Tamandua tetradactyla: one gene and its partners. The protein of the gene in region 4 purifies or fractionates together with the protein of the main gene of each other region. This does not show direct contact. Links are inferred from orthologs where the notes say so. Each region holds a gene or a part of one and is shown on either strand. Other genes may lie near its edges. The genes, in order: KCTD10, BTBD9, KLHL9 and USP25.

The links.
Region 1: the proteins of USP25 (region 4) and KCTD10 purify together in Homo sapiens (affinity purification with mass spectrometry; 4 studies listed by BioGRID and IntAct, counting the BioPlex papers as one, with this or other methods). This does not show direct contact. The link is inferred for Tamandua tetradactyla from reciprocal best matches to the Homo sapiens genes USP25 and KCTD10.
Region 2: the proteins of USP25 (region 4) and BTBD9 purify together in Homo sapiens (affinity purification with mass spectrometry; 3 studies listed by BioGRID and IntAct, counting the BioPlex papers as one, with this or other methods). This does not show direct contact. The link is inferred for Tamandua tetradactyla from reciprocal best matches to the Homo sapiens genes USP25 and BTBD9.
Region 3: the proteins of USP25 (region 4) and KLHL9 purify together in Homo sapiens (affinity purification with mass spectrometry; 3 studies listed by BioGRID and IntAct, with this or other methods). This does not show direct contact. The link is inferred for Tamandua tetradactyla from reciprocal best matches to the Homo sapiens genes USP25 and KLHL9.

The regions. Positions count from the first base shown.
Region 1 is NC_135331.1:21,938,921-21,946,857, reverse strand, and holds the start of KCTD10 (BTB/POZ domain-containing adapter for CUL3-mediated RhoA degradation protein 3), read right to left. Parts: upstream 2,902-7,937; coding exon 2,899-2,901; intron 1-2,898. Other genes in the region: UBE3B (ubiquitin-protein ligase E3B), read left to right, coding at 5,929-5,979, 6,505-6,605, 7,546-7,728, 7,879-7,937. UniProt on the Homo sapiens protein: Substrate-specific adapter of a BCR (BTB-CUL3-RBX1) E3 ubiquitin-protein ligase complex. The BCR(BACURD3) E3 ubiquitin ligase complex mediates the ubiquitination of target proteins, leading to their degradation by the proteasome.
Region 2 is NC_135331.1:95,853,276-95,860,311, forward strand, and holds the start of BTBD9 (BTB/POZ domain-containing protein 9), read right to left. Parts: upstream 3,006-7,036; 5' UTR 2,894-3,005; intron 1-2,893.
Region 3 is NC_135328.1:75,144,006-75,151,816, reverse strand, and holds KLHL9 (kelch-like protein 9), read right to left. Parts: upstream 3,017-7,811; 5' UTR 2,632-3,016; coding exon 619-2,631; 3' UTR 51-618; downstream 1-50.
Region 4 is NC_135336.1:73,295,042-73,302,880, reverse strand, and holds the start of USP25 (ubiquitin carboxyl-terminal hydrolase 25), read right to left. Parts: upstream 3,015-7,839; 5' UTR 2,901-3,014; intron 1-2,900. UniProt on the Homo sapiens protein: Deubiquitinating enzyme that hydrolyzes ubiquitin moieties conjugated to substrates and thus, functions in various biological processes including inflammation and immune response.

The DNA of each region.
Region 1 (7,937 bases), on a different chromosome or scaffold from region 4:
ACAGAGTCAAGAGGCTATCCTGGTTACTCTTATGCATTAAATAGATATCATCTTGTTAGTCAAGATGTAATGCAGAGGCTGGAGAGAACTGCCTGAAAATGTAGAGCTGTGTTCCAGTAGCCATGTTTCTTGAAGATGATTGTATAATGATATAGCTTTCACAGTGTGACTGTGTGATTTGGTTATTCTTATGCATTAAACAGATACCACCTTGTTAGTCAAGATGTAATGCAGAGGCTGGAGGGAACTGCCTGAAAATGTAGAGCTGTGTTTCAGTAGCCATGTTTCTTGAACATGACTGTATAATGATACAGCTTTCACAATGTGACTGTGTGATTGTGAAAATCTTGTGTCTATGCTCCTTTTATCTACCTTTTCAACCGACAAGTAAAACATGGAATAAAAATAAATAATAGGGGGAACAAATGTTAAGATAAATTTAGATTGAAATTGTAGTGATCAATGAAAGGGAGGGGTAAGGAGTATAGCATGAATGAATTTTTTTCTGTTGTCTATTTCTTTTTCTGAGTTGATGCAAATGTTCTAAGAAATGATCACGATGATGAAATATGCAACTATGTGATGATATTGTGAATTACTGATTATATATGTAGAATGGAATGATCAAAAGTTAAGAATGTTTGCGTTTGTTATATTTTTTTAAAAAATTAAAAAAATATGCCCAAAAAAACCCTTCTGTTCCCCTTAAGAAGGCGACAAGTAATCCCTGACCCACATATAAAAACAAACCAAAGCACCGTAAACAAAAGTAAGCCTCTACTTCACAAAGACAAAGGAGCCAAAGACAAGGAGTAACTGTATGCATGCTTAAAATATAAAAACCCACTGAAGAGAAAAAAACAGTTAACTTCAAAGGAAACCCAGTTAAGTAAAATGAATATAAAGGCTCCAAATCCCTGGCCCCTTAGATGTTTTCTACATAATATCCTTAAATCCAGAGTCTGGCAAACCTGGACTGCAGTCCCAGTTTCATCAATTCCTGTGTGAAGTTCAGGCAAGAAATTTAACCTGAGTCTCAGTTTCCTAACTTGTAAAATTGGAGTCTTAGAGCCATAATCTTTATAACCCTCAGGGAATGAATGTTAAAATATTTGGCACACAGTCCTTGGCGCAGTTTCCCTTCTGGTCCTCAAGCTTTCCTTACAACCAGTTCTCAGCCTCGCTGCATGTTAAGTATTTTAAAAATACTTAAGCCTTAGCTTCACCCAGAACCAACTGAATAAAAATGGGGAGCCCAGTAGCTAGTGTTTAAAATGGTCTTCAGGTGATTCTATCATGCAGCCAGGGCTGTGCATCACTAAGCTAAAAGTGTTTCTTTACCCAGCTTGATCTAAGAATCATGAGAGATTGATGGGAAAAAAAGAGTTCAGCTGATTCTTTCAGCAGGGAAGTGTAAGAGACATTGTCTGGAGGCTAACTATAAAACTCACTTTGGTGACAGCATTTCTACAACTCAGAAAACTCTGTTCCATTTTAACCAAACTAATATTAGCTACATAACTACAGCATTATTTTGCATCCAAAACCTGCTTATATGACAGCTATTCTTATTTCCAGATGTTCTGCTGAGCAACATTCTCTTCCTGTGTGCAGCACACAATGTATTAGCCTAATTCTCAAATGGTGTTGTGAGGAGGACATTACCATCGATCCAACTTTTCAAATGAGAATTAGAATAAGGGGCCTCTGACTCCAAATTTCATGATCCTTTCATTACATAGTCCAGATCAGGAAATCATTTTTTTTCCCTGGAAGCTTGTTAAAACAAACTTCTGGGCTTCACGGGAGTTTCTGATACAGGAGTCTGAGGTAGGGCCTGAAAATATGCATTTCTAACAAGTTGCCAGGTGATGGTGCTGCTGATCTGGGGACTACTCTTTGAGAACCACTGGTTTATGCCTTCTCCTTCCCCTCTAACAATCCTTACTTTGTACAAAATGAAGACGACCAATCAAAGTCGTCTCAAGTTGACTCTTTTTCTGGGACTCACCTTCCCGAAAGAATGCACTTTCCCAAGTAAGAGACTCTGAGAAAACAAGTAAAAAGAAAATCCGGGCGGGCCTTTGCTTGTTCCCACTAAGGGACGACAAGCTATTCAAAGAACAGACTCTTGAAAAGCCCCAAGCAAACCTTCCCAGGGCTGAGACAGCATGTAAAATATTCTCAGCTCCTCAGGTATGGCCACACGGAGCCTCACCGGAAGCGACTAGATAGATATACGGGACACAACTAAGGCGCCGGATTTCGGGACGAAAGACTGACCTCAGGCCCCTGGCATCTCTCCCTGGGGGTCCAAGCACCGAACGCCACCCACCCTCCGACTCCCTCAATCCACTCATCCATATGTTCCAGCCTCACCTGGAACTCCAATATCCACTTCCCTGAAACCCTGACGCTCCTACTACAACCTCTAAAACCCCCTACAGCTCCGCCCCAAGGATTCCCACTTCACTCTCTCATAACCCATCCTTTCTTCTCCATAACTTCCCCCCGCCCAAATCCTCATTTTACTCCCCCAAACGCGTCTCCAATAGCATCTCTTTGTTCTCCTCACACCCACCAATTTCCATCTCCAACACGCACGCAAGACTGAGAGACGCCGCCCTCACCCACCCACCTATGAAAAATTTGATTTTGATATTCCAAATCAAAACGCCCTTTTCCGGATCCCCAACGCAGAGACTCCAATTCCCCACCAAAGCCCTTCCCCCGGCCCCGGCCTCGCCCTCATCCAATTCCCCAACTGCCTCTCCCCTACAGTGACCGCGACCGCCCCTCATCGCGCCTTTTCCTCCCGGTCCCTTTCCCCTCTGCTCTGCCACTGCTAGGCTCCCTCGGCCAGCCAGGACCCCCAGTTGTGGGCACGGTCCTCCTCACCATGAAAAGTCGGAGGACGCCGGAGTCTCCACACCCGGACTGCGGGAGGCAGGAAACACCCAGCTCGCGCGAGCCGGAGCGGAGGCGCGGCCGAGGCGGGCCCCTCTACTGTCCCCACCCCACTTCCGCCCCGCTGAGGGCACCATCTTAAAGCATCCGTTGTGCTCCTAGACATGGGCCGCTTTCCAGCCCGCTTTCCCGACCGGAATAGATCCCACTCCTCTCGTTTCAGGCATTTTTTCCGACTCTTAAATGCTCCTCTCTTTCAGTTTCCGATAAGAGGATGGCGTGCCGGGAGTATTTTCCTTGCCGGGCACAGAGGCTATGCGGAACTGTAGTCTCCCGGAATTGGATACTTGCGTCTAGGCGGAGCTCTGAGCGCGGACTCTCTGGGGCAAGATGGCGGCCAAACCTCGGCTGCGGCCCCGGGCCTGGCAGAACTCGGGGGGATCGGGCTGAGGCGACGGGAGCTGCAGCTCCGACCCAGAGCGCGGGGTTCCCGAGCGGGTAAAGGTCTACGGCTGGCGGGTAGCGAGTGGGAATAGAGTCGGCGTACTCCGGGCCGTGGGGCCGGAGATTTAAAGGGAGTTGGCCCCAGGGCCCGGTCCCCGCCTGCCTGGTCAGAGGTGCAGGTGTTGGGAGGTGGTTTTGGAGCTCCTGGGAGTCTTTCCGCGGCCCTTTCCACCTCGTGTGGTCTCCGGGGCAATAACCCTTTATAAACGTAATACAGAAAAGGATTTGCTGTTGTGCTTTTCGATGCCGAGGAAAAACCCCAGGTCTCAGGAGACACCCAAACCGGAGTTCAAACTGATTTATACGCTGTGTGACTTTGGCCGAATTTCTTCACCACTCTGAGCCTCAGTTTCCGCCTCTGTAATGTAGGGTAATAGCCGGTTCGTAATACGCTTTAAGTATCGTGCCAGGCACACAGTGCTCAATAAAGACAGCTGTTAATGATATCAATAAAGAACATTTTGGACTTGATCGTAATTTGACTTCAATTTGATCCCAGGGACAGCCTTGCTATTATATGAGTGGGGGAGTCTCTGAGCCTTGTCTGTTGCACTTGTAAATAAATAAAATTGCTTTAGAGTCAGAAGTGGGTTCAAATTCAAGGGCCCGGCGACCTCAGGCAAGTCATGTCCTCTCTGCATTTCTTTTTTTCCCGTGAGAAAATATAAATGATAATTGTACCTACCTCGATAGACTGTCGTCTACATTAAATGATAGCTATTAATAATAGTCTGTCTAAACCCTGTTACCTAATAATAATAAAAAAGAAAAGACTATTGGGACCTGATAGCTGTGGAAAAGACAGGGTTGGTTAAATATCTATATGGTGTCTGGTACATGGTTGTCCCTTAAATCGTGGTGGATAAATCTGGCTACCCAGCTATTCCCACCATTCAGGGAGTCTCTTCTTGGGCTCAATCAGCGGTTGTTATTTATGGCACTTCCGTTTTGAACAATACTTTCTGGACTTCCATGCTCTTTTGTAGTTCTCCATAAGGTTGGCCTCATTTCTGTGTATCCACAATCATTTGGACCCAGAAAAGCCTATTTTGGGCAGTTCTCATGGGAATATAGAGGCAGAGAGGAATCTGAGTTCTGTCCTCAGAGATAGGTGTTAAAATCTTGACTTTGCCACCACTAGTGGTTTAACTTGGACTGAGGGAGATAAATGATCTCACAGGGTTGCCATTCTTAATAGATGAGATCACTCAAAAAGGTCTTGACACATAATGAATACTCAACTTGGTTTCCTCTTGCTTTACAAATGATTTTGGCCTTTGCCAATATCTTGTTTCCTAATTTTTCCACCTATGTAATTCATGTTTTCCCAACTGGATTTTCTTAAGCTTCCTGAGAACAATATAATAAAGCTCACATTCATGCTTTATACTTTCAGATTCCCCTTATCAATATTTTCACTTAGTTCTATTCACAGTACTGTGGTAACTAAATTGAAGTAGAAAAAGGGTAAATACTTCATTTAGTTCTTTTAGCAACCCTAGGAGGTAGGTAATATTATTACCCTCCATTTACAAATAAGGAAACTGAGGCCTAGAAAGGATAAGAAACTTGATAAAATAAGAGGTAGAATCAGGACTAAAGAGAACCAAGGACTACACTCGCTGATCCAAGGCTTTTTCCACTACACAAAGCCTTTGTCTGTCATTCCCCATGGTATTTAGCAGAGTAAGTACTTTATAGATACTTGTGTGTTTTATTTGATTGGTGAATTGTAGTAGGTGCTATGTGGCTTGAGGAGATAAATAAAAAATAATTAGAAACACTGCACAGTATAGACTGTTGGGTGGTATAAATAGAAACCAAAATAGAGTGTTGCTGAGGGCTTAATAATCTGAAGGAAGGGATCTTATCCTGAAAGGCCCCCTGGAAGAAGTGAAGGTTTTGAGATAGTCTTAAAGGTACTTGTTCGTAACTTGCATGCAACCTCCTGTTTTTCCATTTGGAGGAGGCTCCTTCTTCCCCCTTGACTTCACTTTCCCCACCATGGAGGGACTGTGTGTGTAAGAGCACACCATTGTGTTTGTGACTTGTGCTCAGTTCTTTTGCAACTCTCAGGAACCTGAAGCTTTTACCAAGTCTAATACAAAGGCTAGGGTTCATGAGCTCAAGCAATGGGGCTGGTGAATTTTGGTGTACCCAGAAATAGAAAAAAATTGATGGGGCAAGGAATGGTGGGGGGTTCTGCATCATTTCCTACTCAAAGAACCCGAGTGTCTGTGTAGATGGGAGCCTCTGCTGAAGCATTAAAAAAAAAAAAAACAAGACTGTGTCTATAAGAATAATACATCAGACTTATTTACTGTCTGCCTCTGTTGGCTAACTCAATAGGCATTTGATGTTCATCATCTCATTAGCCTTGTAATTGAGCTAACTTCTATTATCTGCAATTAACAGAAGACAGGAAGACTCTGAGACGTCTCTCCACCATACTTGGCAGAGCTAGGGACTGGTTCTAGCTCTGTGTGACTCCAAAGCCTGTGTACCTACCACTGTGCCATGTTGCCTCATCTTGTCCTTTCTGTGGGAAATTTAGAAAATAAGAGACCAGTTAAGTGAGCAAATAAGATGTACCACAATTCTACCATCCCAAACAACCACCCTTAACATGTAATTCATCCTAGTCGTGTATCTATGTATACACATGCATCTTTCACTTAATTTATCTAATTGGGATCATTGATTCATAACCAGCCCTTTTTTTTCCACTTCTAAAGCCTAAACAATTTTCCCATGTTGTTAAAAATATCAAACATAGTTTTAAATGGCTTTTTAAACATTCCATTGCCCCCAAGTGTTATTCTTGCTTGCTGTCACAAGGAATATAAAGCTTTAATTCAGATTTTGAAAAAGAAGCCACTTTATTTGGGACTATTTTCAACCCGTTCCCTTTGACCTGTGAGGACTGCAGGCACACAGTCCTAAAAGTTGAGTGAGAGGCTAACTAAAAAAGACAGAAGGGTTATTTTGAAAACAAGCACTGCGTTTATTACTTTTACTCAGTGAGGAAGATATATGATGCCTCACCTGTAAAACAGTCCTAAACATAGAATTTTACTTTTGCTTCTGCCAGAGAAGACAAGCCCTTCTGAAGTGAGAAGCTGTCCTCAGCTGTGCGTCCTGTGCCAGATCACTAATGATTACCTGGCATTTCTGCAACGCAGGCAGATCCTCAGGTAAGCTTTCCAGGTTTACATTGTTGGGGCAAAAAAGAGTAAATGATTCAGAAGACCACCTTTTCCTCCCTAGTCTTCTTACTGCCTCTTCTGTGGTCAGGGCTCTGTTATCTTACTCTGAGAATTCTGATGAAAGATCCGCATCTTGGAAAAGCCCTATTGTTGTTCACAACTGTCTTTCAGTGTTGAAAAGGTGCCACAGAGATTTCTCGACATGTTGATGTGGGAGTAGCCTAGCACGAGCTTTTTTATTCTTTTGGTGTTTTCATGTGGGTGCTGCTTTGAATGAAATAACCTGGTAAAGAGATTGTTTTCTGGAAGTCTGGATTTTTGAATAATTCAATGCAGTGTTTTTCAAGCAGGACCTAGAGTGGACTTAGGATTGAATGACAAAGTTTTCAACCTGACAGAAAAAAATTGTTTGATTTTTTTCCCAAAGTCTTTAATTGGCAAAAAAAATAAAGACTTTGACTGCCCAGTATTGGCTTTGCAAATATTGTTGACTGCTTGAGGAAAATCAAATATCTAGGAGCCTTTGACTTAGAACTTGGTTTGAAGCTTTATCGGTGTGATTGATTCATCCGTTAAACCTTACAGAACACATACCCTATGTCAGGTGATGTGCTAGGACACATTTAAGACAGTGAACCAGGAGTAGTCTTGGCTGGAATGTAGTTGGCATGACAGGCTCTTTCTCTCTTAAGAAAATGCAATTCTTTAATCCTGGATAAAGCATCCCTGGTCTTGGTGAGTTGCATGAAAGGAGCTAATAGGAAGTTGAGACTTGTGCCAGGAGAGCTGTTAAACCTTGGAGACTACTGAGAGTCCTGAGAGCCTCGTTGCTGATGCCCAGGTCTGCCCACCTTCTTTTCTTGAGCCCTCTTCTTTTGGTGTTTTCCATATAACATTCTACAGCAGCTACTTGCTGATTTCCTTCCAGGGTTTGTGGAAGGTTTGCAAACATGTTCACCGTATCACAAACCTCGAGAGCATGGTTCATTGATAGAGCCCGCCAGGCCCGAGAAGAGAGGCTCGTACAGAAGGAGCGGGAGCGGGCGGCTGTCGAGATTCAGGCCCATGTCCGGAGTTTTCTCTGTCGGCGGAAGCTGCAGAGAGAAATCAGGTGGGTACCTGGAGCTCCTCAGTGTATTTTTCTCTTGCTCTCAATTAACAGTAAATATGTGAGTTTTCACTTAAGAGTGCTTGAAAAACCTTCCAGCTACTGTGAGCTCCTAATTAAAATATCTTTTTTTTTAACCCATCCCCTTCCTAGGAGAGAGATTGATGAGTTATTTAAAGCAGATGACACTGAGTCCAGTAAAAGAAGTGCAT
Region 2 (7,036 bases), on a different chromosome or scaffold from region 4:
CCAGCAACTTTTCCCAGGGTGATTTCTTTCCATATATCCAAAGCCCTGGGCTGAGCTGTGAGTGTTGAGATGAGGTATGCTGAGCTGCTTGGGCTGTGCTATGTTGAGCTCTCTCATTTAATCACCAGATAATTAAATCAAACATCATTCATTACAGCAGGCACGCCTCTAAGACTGCAGACGTAATGAGCAACAGATGATGTTCATGTACCATTGGCTCATGTCCACAGCAACAGAACTAGGTACCTTCACCTGGCCAAGTTGACAACTGAATCTAACTACCACAATAGTCATAGCCAGCTCTCAATAAATATTTGCTGAATTGTTAAATAATACACATTGCTATAAATCTTAGGTTAGCAATTCAACTTCATGTTTATGCACCAAAGTAATTTATACATAAGATGATATAAATACAGACCAAGGGTTCAATATACAGCAGCAGCACTTTAATTATTCTAAAATCTGTTTATCTTTTTGTCAATATGTTTAAGTACCCTTCTTCAGATACATTTCTTTCCCAAAAGCATTATTTGTATTTGTAACAGAGTCAGTAGTAACTATGAACCTCAAAGGTTGCTGTTAAGAGATTATCCAAGCAAATCTGTGTCACTGAGCTGTGGCTGGTTGACTGCTTTGGTACAACACTTCATTTAATTTCCAGTGGAATAGCCCATGGACATCCAGCAGATTTTAGAAACTAGGACGTGCACTACTGACTAAATATATAAGATACATGCACATTAGTGAGGTATTTATTCCAATTAGCAGTTGAAGTTAAAAGTACACAGCGTGATTCTGGTTCAACCATAATATCCTTGAATTTCATTTAAAAATAACACCTATTCTCATCCAAGACTTTACTCTGAGTAAAGCAATCCCCATCTCACCCTACAGGGAGGCTCCATCTTGTGATGGGTGAGATGCTGACAAGTCTGTCTTACTCCTTATCACTTTCCCTTCCCAACCAGCTAAACCTTATCTGCCCTATCATAGAACTTTTGCTCCAGGTACCTGACACATAATTCTCCTCAGTATAATCCCCAATGGCCAAATTCACACTATTTTCTCAATGTACGATTTCTCTTCTGTATTTCAAATTTTATACTTCTTTCAAAGATAAGTTCAAATCCTACCACTTCCAAAAAGTTCCCTAATTCAGTTCACACAATTCTTACTTTTTTTCTGAATTTCTACTGCACTTAAAGTATAGTCCTCATAATCTGACACTTGTTTACACACTACCTTATATGTTTTTTTAAATTCTTTTATATAAATATGCTTTTTTCCCCCAGCCAGACTGTTTGTTTGTTTGTTGATTGGGTGCATGGGCCAGAAATCAAATCCAGGTATTCTAATAGCTTGGCAGACAAGCATTCTACCACTGAACCACCTGTGCACCCAACTGTTTGGTTTTAAAGGAAAAAAGTGAGGTATTCTCTGTCATTTGTAATCTTACAATCCTCCCACATTTAGCATAATACTAGATAGAGGGAACACATTTATTAAGTACTGACTGTAATAAATGCTTTCTACACATGGACCCGCCATTTGTGCACAATGTGATACATAACAAATATCTATTGCATGCCTACTCTGTGCCAAACACTTTTTTAGGTACCGGGGACACAGCAGTGAAAACAAACAGACGTAATTCCTGTCCTCAAAGTGTGATAGTCCAGAAAGAAAGAGACATTGAATTTTGCTAACTCTAAGTATTACAGAGCTGAGTTTTTATGGTTCTATGATGTAAGAACTTAGGCAACATATTTTACAGATTCTTAGTTATGAAACGAAATCATGAATTTTAGAGCTGAATAAAATTTTGAAGTCATTTTCTTCAATTTTCTTGCATAAATAATGATTAAATTTCATTACACCCTATCTTTTTGTTGCCTTAATCAACAGAAAATGAGAAGACTGGTTTCTTTCCCATCTTTAATACTTTTCCTTCCCAAAGATGGTAGCTAAAATTACCACACATCTACCCACAGGGTAGTCCCATACACTGAGTAGAGATGATGGCTTACTGAACCTTTACGCCCAAGCTTCTCTGATTATTTTCCACCCCATAGGTTGGTCATAATTTGTATTTTCTGACTACTAAATAGCAAATCTATACTACTTTGAGGAAGAGAGAGAAAAGATCTTCCATACTTCGTTTGCCCTAAAAATGACAAACGAGAAATAAAACAATAGATTTCAATCTATGAGCAAGTAAGAAATGAGGATAGATATGGGTCCCTTGAACTCAAAATCCGTGATGACAATATGACAGATAAAGTTTTATGCGAGCATTAAGCACGTGCACATACATGTGAACTTGGAAACCAGGCAACAGGTTGGCCGCCTATACTGACAGATCGCCTTGCCCAGTCGTGGGCGTGTCTAAGACTGCACACAGTCAGTGATTCACAACTCTCCATAACAACCAGCTCCTGCTCGGGACCCAGACAGGGCAGGGATGATGAAGGTCCCAATAGTCCCCAACTTTCCGAACCCGAACCTTAGTGTCCCTGGTTCCGCCTCCTCTCGGTCCTGGACAATCTTATCTCAGGCAGGATGCGAGGTTTTGCTAAAAACTAGGGTTTCTCCTAATTCGAACTTCTGGTCGGGGGCCTAGCAAAGCCACCCTAAAGTTCCCAGACCTTACTTCCCTCCCCTCCACCCAAGGTGGCAGAATCTGCCCCTTGCTACCGCTTCCCAGAGCCTTCGGGTCAGAAACTGACCCTCGTCAGCCCCCGTCTTCGTTCCTTCCTCGCGCCCGGAAAAGCGGCAGAGGGGCGTGGAGCGGCGCGCGCGGGTGCGAAGTAGGCGCGCGTCCCCGGGCCCCGGGTCTGGGTAGCAGGTGCGGCCAGCGCCTGTCAACCCTGCGAGACCCCCAGCTACTCACCCCTACTATGTTCCTCTGAGACCTAGCCGCCGGCACAGATCTCTCTTCCGCCTGCTCCGTGCCCTCCTCGTAGCCACCGCCCCCCGGGCCGCTGTCGTCACCGTCACCGCCGCCGCCGCCGCCGCCGCCGCCGCCGCCACCGTCGTGGCGCGCGTCCGCTCTCACGCACACCGCCGTGGCCGCGCACGCGCCTCTGCGCGCTGGCGTCACTTAGCAACCGCTCGACCGTGGGCGGGCAGGGTCTGAGGGTTTAGAGCGCAGAAGTTCCCTCAGGCGGTGTTCTGCGGCTTTTCCCTACAGGTCCGACCCTCTACCCCTACGGAGCAGGGGGCCCTCGGGTGTGGTTGACCTGCTGGCACCTGCCCCCGGGTAAGTCACGTCACCACACGTCACTGTATGGTGTCACTGGTGTGCGTCACTGCGCATGGAAAGGTCCCCACCGTGATTGTCACCGCGATGTTCCAGGGCTGGTGTGGTGGAGAGAGCCGAGGCCTCGTCCAGACTCACGCCGACACCATCGGCAACTTCAGCAAAACGCAAGAAAGTTCTCAAAACAGAAGGACCAGGAGAGGGGCTGAGTGCGCCTTTAATATTACTCGTTAATATGTTGTGATACTCCTTAATTTAGCAGCAGGTTATGATGGACAGAGCCTTGAATTTGGATACTCGCGCCCACCCTGGCAATTTATCATCAACGGTGTTAGGCAAATCGTCTAATCACCCATACTCTTAGTTTCCTCATTTTTTAAAGTGGGAATAATAATATGCGTTTTGTCAACATAGGAGCATTGTAAAGCTAAAATGAAGCAAGGTGCAAGCGGGCCTCGTAAATTGGAAAGCCCATTGGACTTTAATTTTTATTATAAGAAAAGGCAATCGAGCAAGAGAGGTTAAGAGTATGGACTTTGTAATCAGAGAAACCTGGGTTCAGATGTGGCGCTGACCGGTTTTAGCCAGTTCTTCTTGAGGCTGGGAAGGTGTGTGTGTGTGTGTGTGTGTGTGTGTGTGTGTGTGTGTGTGTGTGTGTAGGGGGATGGGTGGGAGGAGTAATTGGAAAGGAGATCATTCCAGGCTTTTCTTCTTGAGGCTGGGAAGGTGTGTGTGTGTGTGTGTGTGTGTGTGTGTGTGTGTGTGTGTGTGTGTGTGTGTGTGTGTGTGTGTGTGTGTGTGTGTGTGTGTGTGTAGGGGGATGGGTGGGAGGAGTAATTGGAAAGGAGATCATTCCAGGCAAGGGAAGAGGGAAGTTTCGTGAATAAAGGCACAGAAGTGAAAGTGGACAGAAAGAACAAAGCTTTAGGCAGGGAAATCGATTGGGATTGTTTGTGGTACTCCGGACAAGAAGTGATAAGAGCCTTAACCAAGGCATTGACCCTGGAAATGTTGAGGAGGCAATGTGAGGGCTATTATGGTGGTTGAATGGACATCACTGAGTGGGGGATAAATGAGCAGGCCAAGTTTCTAGAATGGATGTTGGAATATATGGTGGTAACATTTAGGAAGATGGGAATAAAGATGAGTCTAGGTTATTCACATGTTTCTTATCTAAATTATAGATAGTGATGGTGACATTCCTAGAAGGATGATCAGATTTCTGGGGTATGATGATGAGTTCAAATACGGATATCTTTGTTGGGGAAACACTTCTCCACTCAAGATGTCTTCTTCCATGTTGAACGTCATCCATTAGTACAATACTGACTTTTCACAGTACTTTGCCCCCAACTCTCTTAGGGCAGAGTGACTTCCTGACTGGTGAATTTGAAAGGAGAAACTATACACAGCCAATTCCCTTCTTTTCCTCTTAGAAGAAAGCTGCCTTCAGGGAGCTGTTGTGGTGTTTTCTTCTGCTTCTCTAGAAGTAGGGCCTGGGGTTGAAAGTGAGGCTTCCTGATCCAGGTTGATGCAATGACTAAACCTGTTTAGTTTCAGAGTTTGGCATTAGGAAGTTCTCTGTCTGCAATAATATTCAATAGCAACTTTGTCAGTTGTGATAAAACTGAATAATGGGCCCCAAAAGTTGTACACTTTATAATCTCTGGAACCTGTGAATATGTTGCTCTACATAGCAAAAGGGTCATGACAGATTGGGAATTTATCCTGTATTGTTTGGGTGAGTACAATGTAGTCATAAGGATTCTTATATAACAGAGAGACTAGAACATCAGAGTCAGAGAAGGAGATGTGATGGAAGCAAAGGTCAGAGAGAAAGAAATTTGAAGATGCTGTGCTACTGATCTTGAAGATAAGGCCCAGGAAACCAGAAAGACTCTAGAAACTGGAAAAATCAAGGAAACAAATTCTCCCCTAGAGCTCCCAGAAGGAATGTAGTCCTGCTAACACCTTGTTTTTAGGACTTCTGACAATCAGAACTGTTAGATAATAAATTTGTATTGTTTTAAGCTACCAAGTTTGTGGTAATTTGAAACTACTATATTCAGTAGTAAAGGTGGTAGTTAGTCTCCTGTATTCTCTGTGTAAAAGAAAAGTATAATTTATTTGCCTCTCTCAGTGTGACTGTGGCTTGATAGAACTGATACATCCAGTTGTAAATACACAAGAAGCAACCAAACTACACAGTTCTATTAATGAAGAAAGAAGTCTGAGTTAAAATAAAATAGATTTGGAAGATATTAGCCTATAATTTAAGCCTTAGACGTGAATGAGATCAAGCAGGGAGAAAACATAGGAAAAATAATAAAGGAGATCAAGTATAGAACCCTGGGAAGATGAGCAAAAGCCCACAAAGAAGTCTGAGGAAGAGTGGCCAGAAAGATAAAAGGGGAACTAAGTTGAGTGCAGATGCCTCAAAGCCAAAGTAGGGAAAAAAATTTAAAGGTGAAGAGGGAGTCAGAGTCAATTATATCAAGGGCTGAAAAGCATTGACTGGATTTAGCAACAAAAGTGATTGGTGACCAAGAGTAGCTGCTTCTCTGGTATAGTGGAGATAGAGGGCAAATTGCTGGGATCTGATAAGGCAGGCCAATATGGTAGATTGTCTTCTGGACTGGTTGGTGGGAGTTTGAGATTCTAGTCTTGGCTCTGGCCATTAAAAAGCTAGATAACCTTCTGTAAATCACTTAACTTTCCTGGGCTTTGGTGTTCTCATTGTCAAAGGAAATGATCAGGCTGAGTCGTATCATTTTCGCAGTAATTCCTGAATAATCCCCCAATTTTATGTTAAATTCATTTGCTTATAAAAGCACACTTCAAATCCTACTCATTTTACCAAACATTGAGAGCCAGTTTATACTATGTGCCAATTTCCGACCAGATACTATGGATACAACACAGTTATTTAAAAAGCACACAATTTAGGAAGGGAGATAAACATATAAATATTTAACTAGATACAATAAGTACTTTTTGAAACAAAGCAAGATATAGATTAAAGGAACTATAATTATACTAGAATTCTGTATAAAATGAAATGGACTATAGATGAGGGAGCATTTAGTTCTGCCTAATGGAAATCTAAGTATTGTACTTACCTACTCTGTCAGATAGGTAAAATGTGCCTCAAAAAATAGACAAAGCTATAGGCCATTACATGGGAATGAAAAAGACCAGGGAGCTGTATGTGCTAAGCTGATTGCTTAACAGTTCTCACAGGTAGTTTTCTTGAAATCTGAATGAATATGTATATACAGTTCTTTCTAAACTAAATAAAGCAATTAATTGGGAAAAAATGGACAGACGTAAAAGTTTAATGCAAAAGTAATTTATTTACTTTTCAACCAGTCCAAGAAGAAAATAATACTTTTTATTATATGCTCTGTTATATTTGCTACTCTAATTCTTATTATATTATCTCACATAATTTCACAAACATTACCTTACTGTATCAACAGCTGACATTATATCCCTGTTTTAGCAGATGGGGATACAAAATTTACAATGATAAAGCTTAAGGAATTTAGCCAAGGTCATTACAGCACTTAAGTAGTAGACCAAGATTTAGATCCAGCATAGGTAGCCTCTCTCCAAGAAACCTTCCCTCAGGGATTCCTCAGCAAGTTTAAGTGGCCTTTCTCTGTACTATTAGTAGTATGTGCCCACCTTTCTTTTAGCATTTACTGTACTAGTGATGGTACTACAGGACTGATTGTAAAAGTTCAGAAATGAATAGCACAATACTGCCTAACT
Region 3 (7,811 bases), on a different chromosome or scaffold from region 4:
CAAAATTTGGTTGTTAATTTAGTATATTGTAGCCCCCATCTACCTTTCTCTCTCTCCACAGATACAAGATCCATGATTTAGAGCTAAACTGCTTTGTTTTTTTTTTTAATTTACTATTTCTTTTGTCTGCTGAGAAACTTCACATAGTCTGAATGTGCCCACACAATCTGGTGATTTGATAAAGTATGGCAAAACTCCTTGAAAAGAGGGAGGTAGCTAAAAATACTTGGCAACCTTTTGCTTATTTTCAGTTGCAGAGTCTGCCTCCCTTGATATTTTGCAGTCAAAGATGAAAAGAAAACTTTCAAATTTGATACATAATGCACATAATCATTCATTTACTGCAATAACCTCCGATTTGATTTATACAGCACAACAAAAAAGGCGTCTAAACATTCTAAACACATCTCTTTACATTTGTTAAAACAGCTGGCTACACTGAATACATTTTCAGAATACACTTGTTAATCATTTCCTACATATACTAAGACAAACAACACAGAGAACATCAGTTACCTTTTTATCTTATAACTGTACCAATCACTGTAAGAAGAGATACAACCAAAGAAGAAATATGAGATCACCCATGATCCATTGCAAAAGTATTACACCTTACTCCTAGGAATGATCTGTAGGTGCAGAAAGAGGTGATTCTCTAGACGGTGACCCAGGGTTTTCTTCAGGTGGAAAAACTGTGAGGGTACAAGCTCGAATGCCACCAAGTGACTCTGGAAGGTCAAAAACTTTGTGCCATTCATCTTTTTCAGGGTCATATTTTTGGACAATCTCTACCATACATCGATTATTCCAAGAATATCCACCAACGACATAGATTTTATTTTCAAAGACAGCAACTCCAACATCACTCTGACCTCTTAACATAGCAGCAATTGGTGTCCACTGGTCAAGAGTTGGTGAATAGTATTCACAGCTTAGTACATCATCATAATCACTTGTCCCTCTGAAGTGATTGCCACCAATGACATAGAGCTTGTCTCCAACTGTACACATGCAATGCAGACCTCTGACTGTAGTCATCGGAGCCTTCTGTGTCCATTTGTCGGTATCTGGGTCAAAACACATGAGCTCATTTTGGAAAGTGTCATGTGTAATACCTCCTGAAATATACATTAAGCCTCCATACACTGTTCCAGCATGGCCATAGTGAGGTTCACTCATTTTTGCAACATAGCTCCACTCATTCATTCTTGGGTTGTAACATTCAACTGTAGCCAGTTCACCAGCTGCACTGCGCCCACCAACTGCATACAAATGCCCTTTGAGGGCACTCAAGTGGAAAAATGTGCGCTTCTCATTTAATGATGCAACTTGCATCCATTTATTATACCGAGGATCAAATCTGAAAACTGTATCGACAGCAGTTTTTCCTTTGGTATCATAATTGCTTTGACCACCAACTACATAAAGGAAGTTTCCAATGACAGCAATGCCATGCTGGTAACGAGGAGCATCCATGGGGGCTAAAGATCTCCACTCTTGTGCCCTTTCATCATACATTCGTAATTCTTTACTGACAACCAGCTGCTGTCTCAACACTCCTCCTAATGTAACCAAGTGAGTTGAATCAGATCGAATGGCAGTTCTGTCTGACTGCATTACTGGCTGCATATATGGCATCATTTGGTAATTGCTAGCTTCCAAAAGCAAATTCACACAGGTATTGTCCGTCCTCATGAAATCTACTGTCTGCACATAATTGATGAGGTCCTGTGGTGTCATCAGTGGAAATCGGATGTTCTTCATCAATTTTGCAGCATAATCCATCCGAGGGTCTTCCAACCTTAGCCAGCGGCAAGCAGCCTTGAAGAGTTCAAGTTCAGTACAGTGCTTCAGACTATTACTGGAAAGCACAAAGGCAAGCCGTTCAAATGGGAGCTTTAGGAATTCTCCAGTACTCAATAATGCTGGAAAATTCTTAAGGATGAAGTTATTAACATATTTATCCACTTCTATAAGATTGTAGGTGTTAGCAATTCGTCCAACTTCAACACAGTTATCTAAAGAGACCCCTGATATAAGAAATACTTTGCAGAAGTCCAAAACAGGTAAAATCTGTAAAAAACTGGCAGCTTCAAGTGTGTCCTGAAGATTGTCCATATTAAGAGAAAGTTTTGCAGTATAAATAAAATCAATGATTTTCTTCAGACCAACCTTGTTCACGCCATGAAGCTTGATGCACATTAAATCCTGTTCTTTCATTCCACCTGTGAACATCGCCTTGAAATAATCACTAGCAGACGCCATCATAGCTCTGTGAACAGGAAAGATTTCATCTCCATCACCTGGTATCAGGGTCACATCACAAAGTAATCCTTCTATTCTAAGTTGATCAAAACCTTGCAATACCACTGAACTGTGCGTATTGCTGGTAAAAAACCGTGTGGTTCCTGGCTTGCAAGGCTGCAAATGGGCAGAAACACCCATTTCGCTGTTACCAAGTGACACTTTCATGTGAAAGCCGCCTTCTTGCACAGAGAGATGTCTCCCGGAAAGAGGCAGTAACCTCAACGTTTTAAAGGAATCAAGATTGTCTCCCAAGAAACGGGAGAGCTCTCTTTCTTTATCAAGAACAGTCACTGTGGCGCCCCTCAGGACACTTCTGTCAGTCATCCACTGAAAACTGCTTTGTAGCAGGACCACAAAGGGATGCGGACCTCAAATCTGAATATTATGCTGATGATTCATCACCTGACGGCAGTTAAATGACCCGGTTCACCTCGTCCGGCCTTCGAAGCCGCTCCCGCAGCAGTTCCGCTCCAGGCCAAGGGGGAGGCGCCGCCACGTACAGAGGCTCCGCGGCTCGCTCAGCGGCGAGGCCGGGCACCTCGGCGTGCAGCCGGCTGCGCCCTCCGCTGTCACCAGACCGTCGCCGCGCCTGCGGGGCTATCTCCGAACAAGAGCCTGGAATTCCCGGCCTGGGCCTGGAACACGGGCCTAATCCGGGACACTGAGCCAGTCCTTCCGCAAAGGCAGAATCCCAGGATGCCCCGGGCTAGGAGCGGCCGCGGCAGCCACTGCGGCTGCGCATCCGTCTGAGCTCATCGGTGGGCGGGCGTGGGGGGGAGGGGAGGGGAGGGGAAGTGCGCGGGACGCGGGGAGGGCGTCGGGGAGAAGCGGGCTCTCCGCAAATGCCCCTCTGGAGGGACTCGATTAAGGCGGGCATATTATACCGCACTTCGTATACATCTCTCGCGGCATCCGAACTCTCTCTCCAAATGCATACTTTTTCTTTAAGGTTTACACTTCCTGGTTTCTGTCGTGTTAATTACAGTGAAACACGGCTCTCCGGTAAATTGAAAGGAAACCTCGTAGAGGAGGGGTTGGGGAAGAGGAGGCTTAAATATTTTTTCTTTATAAAACACTTTTGTAATTCTTATCCCAAACAATTTAACTGCCACTTCAGTTATAATTTTGTTCATATTTTCGGGTTTAAATCATTTAAAACACATATAATTTGCCTGTCTGAAAACTAAATTGTCCCCATACTATGTAAATAATATATCGAGTTTTTCGCTCCCAATTCCATCATGTTTTCATGCTTTTGTTTTTCATTCTCAACTTCTTAAATGGCTACACAATTTTCCAACAATTATATGCTATTGTTAGCTTTGCCTAATATTTGTTTCTGGGTCTATACATTCTTGTGCATTGTATAGAATCTGTAATAAACTTACAGAATCTGGGCTCAAAACTTTCCCCTGGTTTTGGATAAATCCTAACAGTAGGATATTAGTTGAAGACATAATGAATCTTTCCAAATTATTGTTTCCAGCAACATTGGAGTGTGCATCCCCCCCCACGCCGCCGATTTTTGCCTTTATGGTATTTTATTAATTTGCATTTCTATACGTGACTGTAAGTTAAAATTTTGGCATACAAATGAATGAACACGTTGACACTATTTCTTCCAACATTTTCCACAACATGAAATTATGCTCTTTTAATGTCAGTAGACAAATGGTTAATAGATTTTAAAAAATCAACTTAGGGCGGTGGGATGGTGGCTCGGCGGCAGAATTCTCTCCTGCCATGCTGGAGACCCGGGTTTAATTCCCGGTTCCTGCCCATGCAAAAAAAAAGAAAAAGAAAAAATCAACTTAATTAGTCACTAAAGATATGGCAATTTCAAAAGAGATTTCCAATTATAAAATAGTCAAAGAAAAATATTCAGGACTTATTAAATTCCAGGCGTTTTACATGCTTTACATATTCTCACAACAATTTTACAGGAAAAATTTATTTCCATTTTTAAAATGAGAAGATTGAGGGGAAAAGAAGGTTAATTTCCAACTGTGAAATGGGAGAGCTGGGATCCAAACTCATATTGTCTGATTCTAGGGCCTCTGCTCTTTACTGCTATGCTACAATGCTTTCATGGTATAAAAATTATGATCATTATTGAAGAGACTGAGATTGATGTTGGCTTTACAAATGGACTTCACAAATAGAGTATTTCTTAGAGTACAGTAGTTCCAATTTTAGAAACATGTTTTGGTACAGTAATTCCAATTCAAAAGCAAAAAGGCAAAGAGCTTGGGTGTGGGTAAGCGGTTTCGACTCTCTCAGCATTTCCCATGTTTATCCCTTCCACAAGTATTTACTGTGCTCCTACCACATGCCAGACACCAGGCTATATGCACAACAGAGGTGATAACATAATCCCTGCCGTGAGAAGGCAGCAGGCTGGTGGGAGACTAGGCAACTAAACAGACAATTAGAACCAAAGACATGCTCCACTCTGCAAATATCTCCTTGGGTTCTTGATGTGTCCCCCACATTCTATTTCCATCTCATATTCACCCAACTCAGACTATAACTACTACTTGCATTAAAAATGTCTTCTTCAGGAATAGCTGAGGTTTAAATGTCTTTATAACTGTGAAAAAGCCTGGCACATCCTATTGTTCCAACTTTTAGAGGAGTCTGTACCAAAAGCACATGACACTGCTGTCCCTACCACTGACCTTGAACCTGGGCCAGTGGAGATGGATCTCGAAGATGAGCTGTCCAATCTGTTCAAGGTCATCTTCTAAAATAAAGATTTCCCAAAACATTCTATTCTGCACTTTCCAGATCTGTCCTGAGAATATCAATCTTGTGATGCCTAAATTTCTTCAAGATGGTTCCCAGTTTTCTGGTGTTTCAGGGCAGCAACAGCAGGATGGGCAGCCCATGGACAGGCAGAGATACCAAAGGTGCTAACTCTACAGAATGTGAACTATTTTTACATTAAGATCAAAATGATGTACTTCACATCCATCACTGGCCATGCTAACCTCAACATGGGTATTATCACGTCCCAGAAAAGCTAAGCCAAACCTGTCATCAAGACAAACTGACCAGAGTTTCTTTGTACAGCTGGTGCTGGTAGGCAGGTTATCTGTACTCTTAATTCAGAAACTGAGCAACGCCTGCTAAGTGCCATCTGGAGGGGGCACATGCACTGGTTGCAGCAGCCAGAACTGTTCTTGAGCAGCTGAGAGCCTGGCCTGGTGTGCAACAGCACCAGGCAGAGGACCCAATTTTATTTTAAATTTAGTCTGATCCCATGTTTCAAATGCTCTGTTTAAATGCTTTTTAGTTTATCTTGGATAAAATTGCTCCATCTCTCAGAGACTCCTCCTTCTACGTCTTCTCCCTACTAGTGTCTGAAACTATGAGAATGTTTCAGATATCCTTCTGACATTGTGAGCATCCCACCCCATGATGGACCTTTTACATGTGCTGGTGGCATCTGGTCTTCAAGGAGATCTCTCCTGCCATTACTGTATCACAGTCTCCAGCTGTGAACACAAGATCCATTCTTTTAGCCTAGCCAAAAGAGAATTAGCCATATTCCCTCTTTGTTGACTCAGTTTCCCTATAGCTTTGTGTGTTCAGTCTGTAGGCCAGGTGATCCACCCCCTGTCTTGACTATGGAACTACCTTATCTTACTCAGTGCCATAATGTTTGGACCATCAGAGAAGAGAAAACAGATCAGCAGAGTTGTCAGCCTCAAGGTTTCCTTTTTGCTGACCATGCTGAGATGCCACGCTTATGTGCTGATGCCCCAGCTTGGTATGAGATGGTCCAGAAGAGTATATTTAAAGTGAGTAGCAGGGCAAGAAGCCATAATCTTTAGTGTTCCCCTAAACTTACTTAGCAAAGCATTCTCTTTCCAGAAGACAATAGTAGACAAAGACTAGGACATGCAAGAACTGCTGTCTGACCATCTCCATATGCTCATCTGCGTGCTCCATTTTCCCATGAACTTACTCATAAAACACAAGTTCAAAGATAAAACTATTAAGAATCTGAAGATGGCAAAAGCAGAACTTTAAACCAAGGTTTCTTCTAAATGTTCAAGCATTGCTATACTTATACGTACATGCACACACACACACACACACACACAACAGCAGCAGCAGTAGCCCAGGGAGAAGGAGAATAATTCTGCAAGTAAAAAGTAGATTATAAAAATCACAGAAATCCAAAATACAAAACTTAGAGCCTCATTCCCTAACTCACCTCATGGGATTCTGCTTGGAACCCCCAATCTGCTCGGAAACATCTCAAGTTCTCTGAGCTTCAGTCCTCTCAAATAGAAAATGAGATTAAAAAAACATCTAGAACTGATGCAGGTACATTTTAAAGCACCTAGGATAATCCCTTATTAGAGTTAGCACTTTAATAAATTAAAAAAAAATGATTCCTTCATTTTCTCAATATTGACCTATACAAGAATATTATAGGTCTTTCTCTATAAAATAGTTTGAAACTAGAACACCTGTCTCTTGGGAGCTGACCAGCTGACAAAAGTCAGCTGAATTCTGGCAAGAAACTTGAAGACTGAAAAACAGACATTCACCATATCATTTCGTCACCACCACCAACCAATGTGTCCCTCTCTTCCTCCAGATTCCTTTATTTGTGGAGTAAAGTTAGACCATCAATGGAACTGACAAGAATGTAGATATAGAGCCACACATATATTGTTGATTGATTTTCAGTTATGGTGTAAAGGCAATCCAATTAAAAAAGGGTAATATTTTTTAAAAAAGAGTGCTGGTACAAGTAGACATTCATATACAAAAAAATGAAGAATCTTATTTGTACCTTATACCATCTACTAAAATAACTCAAATGGGCCACAGACCTAATTACAAACCCTGGAACCATAAGATGTCAAAAAGAAAAAAATAATTGTGACCACTGGTAAGGCAAATATTTCTTAGAAATAATATAAAAAGAAAAATCCACAAAAGAACTGATAAGTTGTACTTAGTCAAAATTATAAATGTTTTCACTGAATTTTGTTATAAAAATGAAAAGACTCAGACTTAGAAAACACATTTATTCAAAAAAGTACTTAGATTTAGAACTTTAGAACTTTTACAACTCTAAAGTAAGATTACAAACAACTTCCCAAAAACTGACAAAATATTTGAAGAGATACTTTATCAAGGAAGTTCTATGAAAGGCAAAATAAGCATCTGAAAAGATGCTCAACATCGTCATCAGAAAAGTGCCACTTTAAACTATGAGCTACCCCTACTAGGACTTTCGAATGGTTGCAGTTTACAAGTCTGCCATACCAACTGTTGATGTGGATGCGAAGTAAGTGAAACTCTTATACACTACTGGTGGGAATGAAAATGGTACAGCCACTTCGGAAAATTTTGGCAGTTTCTTAAAATGGTAAACTACCATACAACTTAGCAATTCCACTTCAATATAATTACAAAAGAGAATCAAAAGTATATGTTCACACAAAGACTTGTACGGGAATGTTCATAGCAGCTTTGTTTGT
Region 4 (7,839 bases):
TGCTTCTTGGATCTTAGTTGAATTTGAATACATATTTAATTACCTTCAGATATGGGTACTAAAAGTCTGTCTTATGACTGTTGTGTAAAATAAACCTAATCATCCATACATTCAAATTTATCCTAAAAAGAAGTTGTGCATTAAAAACAGGGTATTATGTACTAACAGGGAAAATAAAACCGGTTTTTAATAGGGAAAATAGAACTTTTTGTCATTAAAACTTGAGTCTTTTCAATGTTTAATATTAGATTTGGGCAAATTCATTGAAAGCAAATAAAGCTGACACAAAATTAATTTTACATAATCTACCATTTATAACTAAAGTACATTTTTTATAATAACCTTGGCATCTTGATGTATATACATTTGAAACGGTTCTTTTCATCTTTAGCTTTTTAATTTATATTAATATAAGACTAGGATAGATTAAGTATTTTTATTTTACTTTTGAACTTAAGAGTACTATACTTTAATAAAACTCACAGGAACAATACTTCTTTGCCAAATTTTTAGCTAAAATTTTCACATTCTTTTTTCTGCTACAATATTATTTATATATGTGCTTATCAACCACACATTTTGTATTTAACATTTAGTCACAAATTTTTAAATATACACATAGATTTAACTTCATACATATTGATTTAACTTTACTATCCAGTAATCTCAGTAATATTACAGGATGCTGAATCTCTGTAACATCATGTACAATAAAGATATTTAAATATTTACTATTTTAGCAATTAATATTTTGATTTAACTATTTAAAATGTTTAAATATTAGTAAAAATGGATTAACTAAAGTAAGTTAAAATTTAAAAGACAATGAATGAAAAAGAGCACTGTCTTTAGAGATTTTCTTTTCAATCCAGCAAAAATGAGGATCTCAAACAATATATATGTATTAGATTAGAATAAACAATACTGGATTAGAAAATAGTCTTAATCTTTCAACTCTGAAGTTAGCTTTGCCTTTTATTCTCTATTACATGCTGTTTCCAGATTATTAGAGAACACACAAAACAGAACTGCTGATTTGGTACATACATTTACAGAATTTTTTCTATTTTATGCTAATATAAATTCATATAAACAAAAATAAGCACATAATCTTTAAAATAAGAATTGCTGAGCGGGTCACAGTAGCTCAGCAGGCAGAGTTCTTGCCTGCCATGCCGGAAACCCAGGTTCAATTCCCAGTTCCTGCCCATGCACCAAAAAAAAAAAAAAAAAAAAAAAAAAGAATTGCATATTACATAGTCTATTCTATTTTATAACCTCTTTTTCACATAACATCATCATTTCTCTTTAATATAAAATCCAACTGATTTATTTCATGTTTAAAATATTTGTCATCAAAGTTTAACATTGTCAGGCTATATAACTGTTCTAGAATTATTTCATTCCATTCACTTCTTAAAAAAAGTCAAAATCTAGTTTATATAATTTATCCACCCTTCACAAAATAAAACTAATTAAAATGGCCCAAGAAAGACTGACTACACATTTTTGGTTTTACATTAAAATTAAATGATATTAGCTACAATTCAAAGGGGGACAACAAATTTTAATTACATCTTCCCATTTAATATAAATGTCTTACAAGTTTCCAAAGTAATATTTAGAGATATTAAAAAGTAAAATTAAAATTTATAAAGAATATGACTTTGCTAAAGGAAGCATTTCAAGGTTATCTCCTACCATAAAGTAATCTCAGATTATTTAGAAAAAAAATTTGCTATTGATATGGTGTCAATATTATCTGAGAAAACTAGAACATTCTGCTACTAACCTATTGTGTTACAGTGAAAAAGCACTGGAGCGAACAGATCCATATGAGCTGTGCTTCTTTAGAAAATCATTTTACCTCTTAAGCTAAATTTCTTCTTCAGTAAAATAGAATTATCACTGCCCACAACAGCTATTTAGAAGATTATACTTAGTTATAATCTAAAGCGTTTTTTTAAAATCAACATTTCTAAATTTGGAGTAAAATGCTGGTGATCAGTGAGGGGGAGGGGTGGGGTATATGGTATACATGAATTTTTTTCCGTTTTCTTTTTATTTCTTTTTCTGAATAGATTTAATTGTTCTAAGAAATGATCATGATGATGATATGCAACTATGTGATGATATTGTGAATTACTGATTACATATGTAGAATGGAATGATCAAAAATTGCGAATGTCTGCGTTTGGTGTTTTTTTGGTATTTTAAAAAAAATTTTTAAATTAATAAAAAAAATAAAATAGAATAAACATTTCTTAGTGATGAAACCAAATTCATCTATTTGATCCATAGGTGAATCAAACTGCTTCAAAGTGAAAAGTTTAGGCTATTAAATTTTAAAAAATACACTATATCACACAGCTTGGATTTCTTAAAAAGAAAATACTCTATAAACATACTACAGATTGCCAGTCAGCAAACTACAGTCCAGGTGCCAAACCCAGCGGGCAGCTGTTGTTATAAATTAAGTTTTAATGGACACAGTCCTGCTCATTCACCTCTATGCAACAAAATGAATATGGCCCACCAAAGCCTAAAATATTTACTCTTGGTCCTTAAGAGTAAACACCCCTGTTAATAATGACTGGAAGCTGAAATTGGTCAGTATATCCAAAAAGGAACTAAAGGGAAGAAAAAAATGGAGAATTATTAAAACACAGTCTTAAATTTAATCCTCTAAAAGACTACTCTCAAATCCTAAAAGTAAAGTTTCAATCACAATCAGAATTAAAATATGAAAATTTTGGTTACATAAAACATAAAAGTAATATAGAAGTATATTAATAGTTGTTTAGAGTAATAAAGTATATCTTATTGCCTTTTAAAATTAAAGCCAATTATTATTTCCGTTATAGTATTTACATTTGCTTTATATAAATTATACTTTTTACCTGCTAATGGCTTGCTCCTCATCAGTTATTCCAGTCTCCCTGAATGCCCTGTTCGATTCTGCCAAACTCAAGGCAATTGCCCTCTGAAGATCATCTTTATCATCTCCAGTGAGATCAATGACATCTGAAAAGCAAAATTATCTTTCTCAAAATTAAAAGTCAAACAAAATGAAAAGTAATTCTTATCAAATATCAAATATATGCTATTGAACCAAAGTCAATATCAACTTAATTCTGTATTTCTTTATAAGAGCCTCTCTGAAGAGAATGAAAACATTTTAAATTGGTTATACTTTAATTAATCTTTTTCTTTAAAATATATCTGAAGCAACAAAAATATTCTTCATTGCAGAAGAATCTCAGGATTTACTCTATGATCTCTGACTAGAAGCTAAAAGGAAGACTAGCAGACATTTTCCTTACCAACAAAAATTGAAATCAACACAACTAAATATTTATATCTATGAGTTCTAAAATTAACCCAAATGTACACAATTAAATACCTCATCAGCTTTAGCAACTATTTTTTCAAAGACATTAACATTACAATTTGTCTACACTACCACTTAAACATTATTTAACAAATTATGATAATTAACAACTGAGCCCTTGAAAACTGTTTCAGAAACTACTTGACCACAGATATATGCTTATATATACAATTTTTAATTCTGAAACGAAATGTCAAACTGTTAAGTGTGGTTAATTTCAATGAAGATAATTATGAAAAGGTAAAGAACTTTCATTTCCTATTTTAAATACTTCTGCCCCATCTGAATTGTTTTATATCATGCAGTCCTTTTTATGTCAAACAAAACTTTTATTTCAGGTGAAAACAAAGAAATTTACAAATAAATGAAATTGTTCCTCTTTCAACAAAAGTTAAGTAGCTTTAATGCTACTCTTCTTCTTACAAAAAATAAAGTCTATAGCTTTTACCACCTTATATAAAACTTCTTTTTAAGCCAATCTTCTAATATATATTGATCAACATTTTTAACTCATAAAATGACAATAAGAAATATTCCCATTGTCATTTAAACAATGATAGGGACCGTGGAAAACTATTACGTAGGAGAGAGGTAACAGGTTACAAAACAATGTGAAGAGAAAGAAAAAAGAAAAATATCTGTTATTACCTTACATTTAAGTGGATGGGATAATAATATTAAGATGTTCTGTGCCTGTGGTTACATATGTACAGATGATAAAAAACAATAGTAGGTAAACTGCTGCAACTTAGCATAAATAAAGGCAGAAGCACCAAACTGTATGAGTATCCACTGTATTACATACATGCATACTCACTATTAAAAAGCAAAACAAAACAGTTTCACCAAAGAATGTTCTTGATGAAAAGGCAAAAATCAATTTTATTAAATTATGACTTACATGTTCTTTTAAGTCTATGTGTTGCAATAGAAAGTATGTATAAACTACTTCTGCTGTATATCTAGAGCATGTGAATTTCTAACAACAACAACAAAAAAACACTAGTACAATGTGTGAGTACAAGGTGAACTAGCTGCTTTTTCATGGAACGCCATTTTTACTTCCATGAAAACTACAAACTATAGTTGTTCAGATTTGAGTATTAGGAAAACATTTTCTCGAAAACAGACAACGTAACACATTCAATTTAAAGAAAACAAATGAGAGTGCTTGTTGTCAATGATTAATTTCCAGATTTAAAGCAAAAATCTGAACTTTGGAAAACTTGTTTCCTCTGCCAGTATGCTTGATGTCTCCACAACACTTAAGGCTTAATCTGGTGAGATAAGTGATGATATTAACAGATATGTTTTTTAGACCATAGATATTTATCCAACAGTTGGAAGAAAATATTTTCCAATAAACATGCACAATGTTAAAAAATCACGCATGGGCAAAAGATCTATTCAAAGGGCAAAACTGACAATGGATTTTAACGTAACAGTAAGAAAAGATGATATATGTGATTCTGATTACACATTGCAACTAATCAAGTTCTAATATAGAATTAAGAAAGAATATTTTTATCTGAACAAGTACTGCTCCCTTTTCTAACTCTATATTTGCATGAAACCAGATTTTCTTCATATACTTTAATCAAAACAATGCATCCCAACAGAATGAATGCAGAAGCATATCTGAGACTTCAGCTATCTTCTATTATGGTAGACAATAGAGATTTGCAACAATATAAAATAATATACCCCTAATTTATTTCATAAAAATATAATTAATTTTTAAAAATGTGTTATTTATGCTAACATGAAATGGATTATTTTAATACGAATAATTTAAACTTTCGTTTTAATTTCTGATACCACAAATTTTGACCAAAATAACTCATATAAACAAAAGGCCTTCGAAGTCAATAAATTTTAAGGCTGTAAAGGGGTCTTAAGATCAAAAAGCCCTGACCACATGATTCATACATGGCAAAAACCATGGTGCTTTAAAGCCAAAATTAAGAAGCAATAGCTTCCTTGAGACAGAATATTCCGTCTCTTTTTTGCCCCCATCTCCAACCCAACCTACTGTCTTACACAGAACCTGCCACACACACTGATATTATCTGCCCTGGCCTTGCAGGGAGAAGACAAGGGACTATTGATTCTTAACTGACAAGATGGGACTTTATACTTTAAGCAGTAGAAGTTCATTATTTGCAGTTTCACTATAATCAACAATGATTTTTTCCCATGTTTCCATTACTCCATAGAGCTGCTTCTTTTCACATTAGTATAACAAGCCTGAAAGAAACGTATTATTACCTTACTCATATACCAAAAACATTTGCTCTTAAGACCATATATTAAGAAAGTGCAAAATGTTTTTTCATACAGAATGGTTAAACTTGAATTCATTCTCTGGAAATAATGAAGCAATGATTTCTCTAAAACAAGGAATGCTGCAACAATGTTAGAATGAAATCTATCCCATGATTTTCTTATATGCTCATACTCAAAAAGGGACAGAGAATAAATAAGGCTAGCCATAAACAACTGCTAACTAAAAATGCCTCTGTAAAAGTCCCATTCAAATACCAAAGCATTATGAAACTCTTATACCTGTGTCAGGGTAGGTTCTTGGTAAAACACCACTGCCTCTGGTATCAGTGTAACACAGTTCAATGATGCATGTGTGGAAGCGTTACTTTTGGATAACACTTGTAGAAAATTCATGTTACAAAAGCATATAAGCAGCATTACAAAAGCATATAAGCAGTAATCTCCAACATTTTCAACAGTGCCTAAAGTAAAACATTTTCTCTGCAAAATCAGAAATAAACATCAAAACACAAAACTCACCATAATAAATATTTTATTTCCCAAGGAAATACCTTTGTACTAGCTTAAAAATCAACTACCAAATATTTATCAGTCAACTCCAAAAATAAATGCAGTCATCAACTTACTGAACTAGACTTCAAAGGTACATGCTATGTATAACTCATAATTTATTTTCCCATAATAATATTATATTAAGTGAAATAAAGTTTCCGAATTAGTTCACAAAAGCCCATATAACCCATAACCTAGTTCAACTACAATTCTCTATACAAAAGATTTGGATTCTGGAAGAAAAACAATGTTCTTCCACCTTTTTCATTATCTTCCTAGGGAAGGGACTTGTAAAAAAAAAAAAAAAGCCCAGTTTATTTTTAAAACCAGCAAAGATTTCTTAAGGCAAGGGAGTGACATGAGCAGGACTCTGTTTCTGTACTGAAGAGTTAAAGGGTTGAGCAAGAGTTTAAGAAGAGGTAATGAGAATATGACCAGATGGAAACAACTAAAAGAAAAAGCTGTTATACAAAAACTGAAAAACTTGCAAACTGAATGGCTTGGAAAAAAAAAAAAATTAGGCCATCAGAAGATTAAAAATGCTGTTAAAAGAGAAAGGCAAATGGAATGATCATATGCTAAGAACGTTTGTGTTGTTCATTGTTATATTTATTTTTTAATTGAAAAATTGAAAAAAAAAATAGAAAGGCAGATATGAATAGAGGGATGCTCAGTAAGGAGATTGGAAATGTTTCCCACTCCACTTTTCCATCTCCTCTCCCCTCAATCAACCAGCTCCCTCCCATAAAGTGTTACTACTTTTCTGATCTTCTCACTGCTACAGAACTCAAATTCTATGAAAAAGTGCTTTACAATAGAACTTTTGTGATGATGGAAATGTACTATTATCTGCACTGCCCAACATAGTAAGCACTAGTCACATACAGACTATTTTGGAGCATTTAAAATATGACTAGCACAACTTAGGAATTGAATTTTTTTTTTGTTAAATTTTTTATTGAGGCTTCACTACATTTATATATTAACTTGGGGGGAAATTTTTTTTTTTTTTTTAACATGGGCAGGCACCAGGAATCGAACCCGGGTCCTCTGGCATCGCAGGCAAGCATTCCTGCCTCCTGTGCCACCGTGGCCCGCCCAGGAATTGAATTTTAATATTTTCAATTAATTAAAATTGAAATTTAAGTTGTCATGTGTGATTACCAGCCACGCCATGGTACTGAACACCTTAACTCTTAGTGGTCTAGTTCTGTTCTTAATCACAGCTGCTAAGATTATAATGGCAGCATTAAGAAGTAAGGAAGAGGAATACTAGGAAGCCCTTCCTGAGTTTCTGACATGAACTTTATTATGTTTTAACAATTTGGATTATGAAACAAAAAATCAGATGTTAATATTCTGTATTTGTCAACAAAGAGAGCAAAGTTCCATGACTACTAGTCTGCCGAAAATGCACAGAAAGTTCATTAATTTATCCTAGTCATTCTACAGTTCATATCTAAAAGAATATGTCTATTTACATTTAATCAATATATGTAACAACTTTCAGATCATTTCAGAATCTCACTTTTAAGTATAAATTTGACTTGTGATGGACCATCAAATAGTTCTATTCACTAGAAATCTCTGTGGAAAAAGAGACTTTATTG